3 linked regions of the Oryctolagus cuniculus genome follow. The protein of the gene in region 2 purifies or fractionates together with the protein of the main gene of each other region. This does not show direct contact. Links are inferred from orthologs where the notes say so. Each region holds a gene or a part of one and is shown on either strand. Other genes may lie near its edges.

What was found.
Region 1: the proteins of FBXL17 (region 2) and KLHL9 purify together in Homo sapiens (co-immunoprecipitation; 3 studies listed by BioGRID and IntAct, with this or other methods). This does not show direct contact. The link is inferred for Oryctolagus cuniculus from reciprocal best matches to the Homo sapiens genes FBXL17 and KLHL9.
Region 3: the proteins of FBXL17 (region 2) and ZBTB10 purify together in Homo sapiens (affinity purification with western blotting; 3 studies listed by BioGRID and IntAct, with this or other methods). This does not show direct contact. The link is inferred for Oryctolagus cuniculus from reciprocal best matches to the Homo sapiens genes FBXL17 and ZBTB10.

Annotation. Positions count from the first base shown.
Region 1 is NC_091432.1:184,421,154-184,424,904, reverse strand, and holds the start of KLHL9 (kelch-like protein 9), read right to left. Parts: upstream 2,359-3,751; coding exon 505-2,358; 3' UTR 1-504.
Region 2 is NC_091445.1:30,474,946-30,478,177, forward strand, and holds part of FBXL17 (F-box/LRR-repeat protein 17), read right to left. Parts: intron 398-3,232; coding exon 257-397; 3' UTR 1-256. UniProt on the Homo sapiens protein: Substrate-recognition component of the SCF(FBXL17) E3 ubiquitin ligase complex, a key component of a quality control pathway required to ensure functional dimerization of BTB domain-containing proteins (dimerization quality control, DQC).
Region 3 is NC_091437.1:106,000,196-106,003,946, forward strand, and holds the start of ZBTB10 (zinc finger and BTB domain-containing protein 10), read left to right. Parts: upstream 1-1,167; 5' UTR 1,168-1,280; coding exon 1,281-2,270; intron 2,271-3,751. UniProt on the Homo sapiens protein: May be involved in transcriptional regulation.

The sequences.
Region 1 (3,751 bases), on a different chromosome or scaffold from region 2:
CTGGTTTCTCTGGTTAATATTTTTGTTATTTCTCCTATCTGCCTAAGACCTAAGAAACTTCACATACTCCATATGCAACCACAAAACCAAATGAGTTGACATGTGTGAAAAACTCTGAAAAGAGGGAGGTAGCTAATAATTGGTGACTTTTCATTTATTATTTTAGGTTACAGCAGACCTCCCCTTGATGTTTTTCAAAGATGAAAATTTTGAAGGATAATGCACACAATTACATTTACTACAGTCACCTACAATTTGACTTAATAACACCACAAAGAGACATCTAATTTAAACATTGTTCTGCATATCTCCTTTCATTTGTTAAAACAGCTATGTTGAATACACTTTCAGAATGCATTTGTTAGCCACCTGATAAACAAAGCCAAACAAGACAAATAATGTTACCTTTTTATCTCACAACTACCAACCATTGTGAAGAAGATACAACTGAAGGGGAAATAGGAGATCATCCATGAAGAACTGCCAAGATATAACACCTTAGATCTAAGAATGATCTGAAGGTGCTGAGAGTGGCGACTCTCTAGAAGGTGATCCAGGGTTTTCTTCAGGGGGAAAAACCGTGAGGGTACAAGCTCGGATGCCACCGAGTGACTCTGGAAGGTCAAAAACTTTATGCCACTCATCTTTTTCTGGATCATATTTCTGGACAATTTCTACCATACAACGATTATTCCAAGAATATCCACCAACAACGTAGATTTTATTTTCAAAGACAGCAACTCCAACATCACTTTGACCTCTTAACATGGCAGCAATTGGTGTCCACTGGTCAAGCGTTGGTGAATAGTATTCACAGCTTAGAACATCATCATAATCACTTGTTCCTCTGAAGTGATTGCCACCGATGACATAGAGCTTATCTCCAACTGTACACATGCAATGCAATCCTCTGACTGTAGTCATTGGGGCCTTCTGTGTCCATTTGTCTGTATCCGGGTCAAAACACATGAGCTCATTTTGGAAAGTGTCATGGGTAATTCCTCCTGAAATATACATTAAGCCTCCATACACTGTTCCAGCATGGCCATAATGGGGTTCACTCATTTTTGCAACATAGCTCCACTCATTCATTCGTGGGTTGTAACATTCTACTGTGGCCAGTTCACCAGCTGCACTGCGCCCTCCAACTGCATACAAATGTCCTTTGAGAGCACTCAAGTGGAAGAAAGTGCGCTTTTCATTTAATGATGCAACTTGCATCCATTTATTATATCGAGGATCAAATCTAAAAACTGTATCGACAGCAGTTTTTCCTTTTGTATCATAATTACTTTGACCACCAACCACATAAAGGAAGTTTCCAATGACAGCAATGCCATGCTGGTAACGAGGAGCATCCATGGGGGCTAAAGATCTCCACTCTTGTGCTCTTTCATCATACATCCTTAATTCTTTACTGACAACCAGCTGTTGCCTCAACACTCCCCCTAAGGTAACCAAGTGCGTAGAGTCAGACCGAATGGCAGTTCTGTCAGACTGCATCACTGGCTGCATATATGGCATCATTTGGTAGTTGCTAGCTTCCAAAAGCAAGTTCACACAGGTATTGTCTGTTCTCATGAAATCCACGGTCTGCACATAATTGATGAGGTCCTGTGGTGTCATCAGTGGAAATCGAATATTCTTCATTAATTTTGCAGCATAATCCATCCGAGGATCTTCCAACCTTAGCCATCGACAGGCAGCCTTGAATAGTTCAAGTTCAGTACAGTGCTTTAGACTATTACTGGAAAGCACAAAGGCAAGCCGTTCAAAAGGGAGTTTTAGAAACTCTCCAGTACTCAGTAAAGCAGGGAAGTTCTTCAAGATGAAATTATTAACATATTTATCCACTTCTATTAGATTGTAGGTGTTAGCAATTCGTCCAACCTCAACGCAGTTATCCAAAGAGACTCCTGATATAAGAAATACTTTACAGAAATCCAAAACGGGTAAGATTTGTAAGAAGCTAGCAGCTTCAAGAGTGTCCTGAAGATTGTCCATGTTAAGAGAAAGTTTTGCAGTATAAATAAAATCAATGATTTTCTTCAGACCAACCTTGTTCACCCCATGAAGCTTAATGCACATTAAATCTTGCTCTTTCATTCCACCTGTGAACATAGCCTTGAAATAATCACTAGCAGAAGCCATCATCGCTCTGTGAACAGGGAAGATTTCATCTCCATCGCCCGGTACCAGGGTCACATCACAAAGCAAACCTTCTATTCTAAGCTGATCAAAGCCTTGCAGTACCACCGAACTGTGAGTATTGCTGGTAAAAAACCGTGTGGTTCCCGTCTTGCAAGGTTGCAGATGGGCAGAGACGCCCATTTCGCCGTTACCGAGAGACACTTTCATGTGAAAGCCTCCCTCTTGTACAGATGTATGCCGAAGAAAGCAATTATAACCCGAATGTTTTTCAGGAAACAGAGATGTCCACAGAGCTCACTTCCCCTAGCAAGGACGAGCAGTCACCGTGGCGCCCCTCAGGACACACCAGTCAGTCGTCCACTGGAAACTCTCCAGCGGCAGGGCCACAAACGGCGGTGGACCTCAAATCTAATTATTAGGCTGGCGATTCATCACCTTAAGGCAGTTAAATGACCCGGTTCACCTCGTCTGGCCTGCGCTGCCGCTCCTTCAGCAGTTCCGCTCGCAGCCGAGGGGGAGGTGCCGCCACGTACTGAGGCTCCGCCGCTCACTCTGCGGCGCGACCGGGCTCCTCCGCGGGCGGCCGCCTGCGCCTTCCGCTGTCACTCGACCGTCGCCGCGGCCACCGGCCAGTTTTGCAGCAAGGGCCTGGAACACCGCCTGGCCTTGGGCCTGGGCCGGGAACACAGAATTAGCCACTGACGCCGAGCCGATCCTTCCGGAAAGGCCTAGTCCCAGGATCCCCCGGGCTAGGAGCGTCCGTGGGAACTACTGCGCCTGCGCAGCCGTCTGCCCTGATTGGTGGGCGGGCTTGCCGACGTGTCCGGGAGGGGGAGGAAGAGCGGGATGGGCGGGGCGTGCGGGGGTTGGAGAAGCCGAGCGGTCGCAGGTGGGTGGTAGCGGGGCGCGGGGGAGTCTCCGTGTGCGTGAGGCTGGGTAGGCCGGAAGGAGTACCCGTAAGTTACACGCGCATTTGGTGTAGATGAGTCTGGATTCTTCTTTAAGGTGTAGGCTCGCTGGCCGCTTCTAACAATGAAATAAGAACGATTTTTGTATAAATTGAGAGGCCGCCTGGCAAAGTAACCGTAGGGGGAGGATGCTTAAATGATCTTTCTCTATAAAACACTTCATAAATTTTACCCGGTATAATTTAACAGACACTTCAATGATTTGGGTTCATATTTGAAATTTTTATCGTTGGAAACATAGTATTTGTCGCTAGTAAAATGTGACCATACGAATAGTAAAAACCTAGTATATTCATCATTTCTGGCTTAACAATGCAATGCCATCATAATTTTTTTTCAAGCTTTTGATTACCACTCACATTTTAAATGCACAATTTTCCACTAGTTACATAACATAGTTTCTTTGACCATTATTTTTACCTGGATATATACATTCTTAGCCTCTCTTGTCCTATAGAAACTAAAATCAACTTAATAGAAACTCACCCTGTTTTGGGTTATGTTTGGTAGAATATTGATTTAAGTCCATATTTCAGAAATACTGTCACGACAGTGTATTTCTCTGCTATTGATTTTTATCTTACTTTATTAACTTTCATTAATTACTATTTTAACTTTTGGCTTATGAATAA
Region 2 (3,232 bases):
AACTTAAAAATGAAAATGTCTGTGGCTTTCATGATTTGTAAATGTTAAGAAAAAAAAAAAGGCCAGCTCACTCAGGAACAAGGAACATGTGGGCTTATGCTGTGCAGAAGGCAAACGAGACACAAATATACACACTCTGGTACACACGCAGAGAGGTGACAGTTAAAACCATTCAAGAGATTCCCACCCCAAAACTACAACTCCCCTCTGGCCTGCTGAATGGTCCTGGTGGACCTAATCCTGGTGGGCAGGGGTGCTAGGAGGAGGCGGCCGACATGTTGGGGGTCCAGCCCATCTGATAGGCTCTCTCCAGGGTTCTCTTGCAGTCCTGCAGGACAGTGCTGAAGGTGATGTGGGGGTACTGCTGCACCAGCTGCTCCACCGTCACTTCGTTGACCTGCAAGCAAAGAAGAACCAACATCACACTCAGGGACCACCAGGCCCAGCGGCTGCCCCTGCTCCTGTGTGTGCTGGACTTAATTCCGATGGCGCACGAGCTCTCGCCTGGGTCCTTCTTCGCAAACACCACGAGGAAATGTTCTGCGAGATCTGTGTCCCCTTTGGTCTAACCTCTGACTTCCCAGTGCTACATCTGCCCTTGGGGATTTTTGTCTTTTTTAAAGCCACAATATAAAGAAACCAAATGTGTTTCCTAAAGCATAAATGACAGTGATTTGTCAAGCTCTCAACAACGTCCACTGCAAATCTGGCGCTGGGGAGGTGAGACAGCAGAACAATAGCATCCCAATACACATTCGACTTCGTCATCAATCTGACAGCCTGTTTGGATGCAAACTGTAGAATCGGGAAAGGATACACGGGATTCCAGACAGAAGTGCTGGGGAAAATGTTTATTTTTTTTTTTCTCCCCTGTAAATGGTAAGGGATTGCAAACTTCACGTCCCTTTGTGGGAAGGGCTGAAAAGTGAGGAATCAATAATTAAAACATACATGGCTGGCAGGTCAGGGATGGCCCCAATAGACCTTAACCATCAAAGATACCACCTTGATTCTTGATTAGACAAGGCAATCAGACAGGCCTAATTAAAACTAACACCTTTACAATTGCTGTGCTGTGAAGGGATTAATTTGTCAATTATTTTTAAGCTGATTGCAGTTCATATCACAGAAGTAGACAGCTTCCTTCATCCTTTAGATAAATAAATGATTAACCTAAGAACCACAACTTTTAGGTAGCTTTATTTAAAACCTTTATTGAACTCTTGGGCATTTTCAAATACATCAATATTTCATTTATACTGAGTAAGCTAGTCTGAAGGAAGCTACTTGTAATACACGTTCCCAGCCTTCCTCTTAATGTCCATTATTTAAAAAGATCAGGACCACCAGGAGCAACCTAAAACAACATCAAACCCTTGCTATTTGCTTTGAAAGCCTGCTTCGAAGTATGGTGATCGTGAAGTTCAGTTGCCTGCACTTTTCCAAAACAAGAAGGTGTCTGGAGCTGGCCTGGAAAACTATGGCATATATTAATCCTTTATTTTACAATCGAAAGTGGATATTTCAATACTGCACTGATGATACTTTTTGTCAGAACACTTCACTATTCAAGACTTGCTGATATTTAAATCAACTTTTATTCCAAATTCAACCAAGGCATGAAGTTAGTTCTTTTTTTGTGATATAGCTGTGATATGTAACATTTTGTTTTCAAAAGCAACAAAAACTATTTTGGATTAGAAAAGAAAAACAGATACACAAGTTAGAGTTGAGCATATGAATTAAAACAACGGTTTTAAGATGTGTTAAGCGATATACCTTTTAAAACATTTAAAGGTATTCTGTAAGTCTTGTTTGAATTCATGCAGCTTGTAGCTGAATACAATTCAGTCAATTGGCCTTATTTCAGTTTATCGACCCGTCCAGTTTCCTTCTGGCCTCAGAAACTTTGAACGTGCAATTCTGTTCACCTGCAATTCTCTTTACTCCCTTTTCCCATTACCACCCCTCTCCTCATGTGTACATATTTCCTACTCGTTTTTGAGTTCTTTGCAACAATGACATTTTCTTAAAGAAGCCTGACCACTGCCTGTTCCCCACCTCAAATTAAGGTTCCAGGTCATTCACTCTTCCAACTCTGACTACTTTTCCTTCACAGTCTATTATACTATCAAGTTAGTTCATAATTGCCCTGTTTAATATCTATTTTCCTGCCCGAATGTAAGATTTACAAGAACTATGAAAATTTTTGTATCCATGAGCCCAGCATGGTTATTAGTGAATGAATGATAAGACAATAACAAACTACAAATAAAATCCAGAAATCCAAGAACAAGGCAAAGCCAGACACTGCCAACATGAAGTACGAAGACCAATAGGTTCCTGAGGAATTTCCATTCATCTCAGCACCCCTTCTCAAGAAAAGCCTTCCCGAAGTAATTCTGTCTCCCCCAAGGCTGGGTTAGCCATTCTCTATGCACCCACGGTGAGGGGGAGGGGCACCAGCAAGGTCTGTCTCAGAGCGTTTGCACACAGCATCCATGCATCTCTTCACTTCCCCATCTCTTCCACCTGAATAAAAGTCCCTGCAGACAGATTGCCTTCAACTTCAACATGAGCAAGCTCTGCCCAAAGCAGAGGAGGAACGTGGCAACTGTGGCTCGTTCCATAGACATGGGAGCCAACAAGAAACAGGTGCGATTCTGCTTTCGCTTTGTTTCTTTAAGGATTGGTTTCTCCAACTGTAAGATCAGGATAAAAGCACTTATGTCACACGATTGTTAAAAGGAGTGATATAATAACGTGCCTAGCATGGTGACTGACACAAAAGTTTCTTGGAGAGCGGCTGCTGTCACTGCAGCTGGCACTCAGTGAACAGTCACTGAACGCCAAGAGATAACGACATGCTGAGTGCTGATCAATATCGTTCCACTTCTCAGATATTTCAAAAACAAAACCTGATAATAATAATATTCAAAATAAAAAATAAAATAGGGCAAGAAGTAATACTTAGAACTTCCTCTAAAAATTCATATACAAGAAGAATCCAGTGCATTTTAGTGCTCTCGGAAGGTGATACCAGGACTTTCCTTAATAACATAGTACAGGTATCATAGGAACTCTTCCCTTTTCTATCACCAGTGTTACCTCCTGCCAAACAACCTGAAGGACATGGCTTTCACGAAGAGACAGCTGAAGTCATTTCCTCAGAGAAGACCCTTGGAAAAGTCTGCATCCCACTGCAAAGGAGGTAAATGCAGTCCCAAGCCAC
Region 3 (3,751 bases), on a different chromosome or scaffold from region 2:
CGTCAAGACACTCGGGGCGGTGCGTTTTCGGCGAGAGGATGGTTGCCCCCGGGGCCCGAGGCGCTGCCCTGGCATCCAGGGCAGGCGGTGGTCCGCGGCTCGCCACCTCCTCGCCCGAGAGGCGCTCGCCCGCTCCAGTCTTTGTGAGGGGACAAAATAAGTTCACTTCCTCGGGCACCGCCATCCACACACACCCACACCCCCACCCACCGCACCCCACCCCACCCCACCCACCCCCAGCAAATGACAAGGCTGGAGCGCAGCTTCCCACCGCGCACTTATTTCCCAAAGTCCCAGGTGAACTCGTGGCGAGAGGAGGAAAACGCGCGTCCCGGGCGCGGGTAGGTGCCTGTGGGCAGCGGGGAGGCGGCCAGACCCTGACACTCGCCAGCTGTTTGTCCTCCGCGCAGCCCTGGCCCCGGCCGCACACGCCCGCCCCTCCCCGAGACCCCCAGCCGGCCGCCCGGCCTTTTGTCCCCCCGCCCCTCGGCCGACTTCCTTCCCTGCGGCCGCACCCCCGCCCCCAGGCCGGAGGCGCGGCCCGGCCCCTTTCCCGGTCCCCTGGCGCCCCCACCCCACCCCAGCCCAGCCCCAAGCCCAGCCCCCCTCCCCCAGCCCGGCCCCCACCCTTTCCCCCTCCAGCGGTTACTGCTACCCCGGTGCATTGTGGGCGCACGGTCCGTTGTTCATTTGCCATTCGACCTCCGCCAGGGCCTGGTCGGACGGAAGCGCTCCGCCGGCTTTATTGTCGGCTCGTTATGTGGCGGAGCCGGGCAGTTTAACGTGCCTCTCGTCCTCAGCGCGTCGGCAGCCGGCGGCGGCGGCGGCGGCGGGACTCCTCGGCGCGCCGGAGGAAGGATATCTGTTTGGAGGGTCGGTGTGTGCGCGCGGCGTAGAAGAGGGGGCAGCGGAGGGTCTCCCCGCACTCCGCCTCTCAACTTCGAAGGCCCCACGCGCCCCGGCTCGCTCCTCGCCTCTCCGCCGCCCGCCCCCTTCTCCGCGCGGGACGCTGCCCGGAGCGCAGCGGGGCGGGGGTGGAGGACGCGGAGAGCGGCCGGAGGCGGCGGCGGCGGCGGCGGCAGCGGACGCGGACGCGTGCGGCAGCCCCGGGCGCGAGCCGGGCGGGAGGGCGAGGCCGAGCCCCGCGAGACCGGAACGCCGGGGGCGGGGGCGAAGCGGAGGGGGAGCCGCGGGGAGCGCGCGGGACGCGGCCCGAGGCCGGGCGCGAGCCGGGGCACCGGGCGGCGGCGGCGGCGGCGGCGGCGGCGGCTGCGCGCGCCATGTCGTTCAGTGAGATGAACCGCAGGACGCTGGCGTTCCGAGGAGGCGGGTTGGTCACCGCCAGCGGCGGCTCCACGAACAATAACGCTGGCGGGGAGGCCTCGGCTTGGCCTCAGCAGCCGCAGCCAAGACAGCCCCCGCCGCCGGCGCCGCCCGCGCTTCAGCAGCCCAATGGGCGGGGGGCCGACGAGGAAACGGAATTGGAGGGCCTGGAGCCCCAAGACTTGGAGGCCTCCGCTGGGGCGGCCGCTGCTGCGGCTGCCGCGGCCGCCGCCGAGGAAGCTAAGGAGTTGCTGCTCCCCCAAGACGCGGGCGGCCCCACCTCGCTGGGCGGCGGTGGCGCGGGGGGCCCCTTGCTAGCGGAAAGGAACCGTCGGACTCTGGCCTTCCGAGGAGGCGGCGGCGGCGGGGGTCTCGGCAACAATGGCAGTAGCCGCGGCCGGCCCGAGACCTCGGCGTGGCCCCTGAGGCATTTCAATGGACGAGGGCCGGCGGCTGTGGAGCTGGAGCTGGACGCGCTGGAGGGGAAGGAGTTGATGCAGGACGGCGCGTCCCTGAGCGACAGCACCGAGGACGAGGAGGAGGGGGCGAGCCTGGGCGACGGCAGTGGGGCGGAAGGCGGCAGCTGCGGCAGCAGCAGGCGGTCGGGCGGCGATGGCGGGGACGAAGTGGAGGGCAGCGGTGTGGGAGCTGGCGAAGGAGAGACTGTCCAGCACTTGCCGCTCGCGCGGTCCAAGTCCCTAATGCAGAAGCTCCAGTGCTCCTTCCAGACCTCCTGGCTAAAGGATTTTCCCTGGCTGCGGTATTCCAAGGATACTGGCCTTATGTTTTGCGGCTGGTGCCAAAAGACCTCCGAGGATGGGGGCAGCGTGGACCTGCCCCAGGTGGGGCACGATGAGCTTTCTCGAGGGACCCGCAACTACAAGAAAACCCTTCTCCTGAGGCACCACGTCTCTACCGAGCACAAACTCCACGAAGCCAACGCCCAGGTAGGCTAGAGCTCGCGCCTGCCTCTTTTAGGGGGAAGATTCCTTGGCTAAACCACCCATTCCCCTGAGCGAGGGCATCGCTCCCGTTGAGAGGGGTGCGGGGAGCCTTCCGCGTGGGGGTTTGGAAAGCCTGGGAACAAGTTTGCAAAAGTTGTGTATGTGGTGTGGGGGGAGGGGAACGGAATGACAATTTTCTAATCGTACCGCTGACTGTGTTTTTATGTCTTTATGACTGAGATTTCTTTGCTCTTGGGATTGAATCCAGTAGAAGGTTTTGAAAAAGTAGGTTGAAGGTTTTAGTCTAAAAGGATGACTTCGGGTCATGTATTTTATTAGCTGTGATTTTAGCGAAGCCGCCTTATGTTCGTAGAGGTTTAGTGTACTGCTGGAAGTCAGATCTGGCAACTGAAGAGTGGATTAGGCAGAGTTCCCTAAACCTGGCAATACCTCTCCCAAGAAACCGTCTAGCCGAAAGAGTTCTTCCATTAGAGCACGATAATGTGAAGTGTCAGAACTGTATGTAAATGTTGGGGAAGCTATTTGAATAACTCCTTTCTCATGTGAGTAATTTTACTAAACTCGTCTCGGCTGAACTTGTTGAACTTTCTTACCAAGACTTGCTTGTGGTAAACTGTCGTAGCTTTGACCTGTGTACTTCTATCCAGATTTCTGTGCTGAGAGTCTTCTATAGCCTTCTTTTTCAGAAACGTTCTTGTAAATCAGTTTACATTGAGTACTTTAAACTTAGCGTGGGAGATATTTAGTATGCAGTTTTTTTGGATCAAGTAGTTGATTTGAACTGGTAGGGAATTTTTTTTTTTGACCAAATTCTTGAAAACCCCAGTCTTTAGCTACAAATCAAGTAAGCTGTACTTTAGTTCTTAGTCCTCGTTTTAACATTTCTAGTCTAAAGATAGTAGCCTAACCATCAAGCCAAAGATGTTGATCAGCCCGTTTTTTTTTTCTTCTGACTTTTACAAAAAGATCCATGAATGTGGATGGAAATCATTCTTTTGTAGCCAAGTCATTGATTTTAGAAAGTCAATTCTCATATTTGTCCCTTGGTGTGTTGTTTATTGGCGTGATCTTGCGTTCAGCACCCTTGTAAGGGAGTTAGTTAGGCACACCAATAACCACACAGACCCAGTACAGAAGATTCTCAGAAGTTGGGGCTTTCACTGAAAAAGCATAGGGTTATTATTCCTATATACTTCAGATACAGTTTTGGGGTTTTTTTCTTTCCTTGCAGATATTTAGTTGCTTAAACCCTAGGAGGAAGATCATTTAAAGATACAAGCCCCAGAAAGGTTAAGTAAATTGTCCTAAGTCTTAAGAGTTCTGGGTGGCAACTGAGACTAAAGCCTATAAGGAGTGTCGTAATGGAAAAAGAATGGGTTTGGAGTAAATCTGGGTTCAGATCTCAGCTTTCTGCAGTTGCTAGCTTTGTGAGCTTGGGCAATGAAGTGAGATAGAGCTAACAT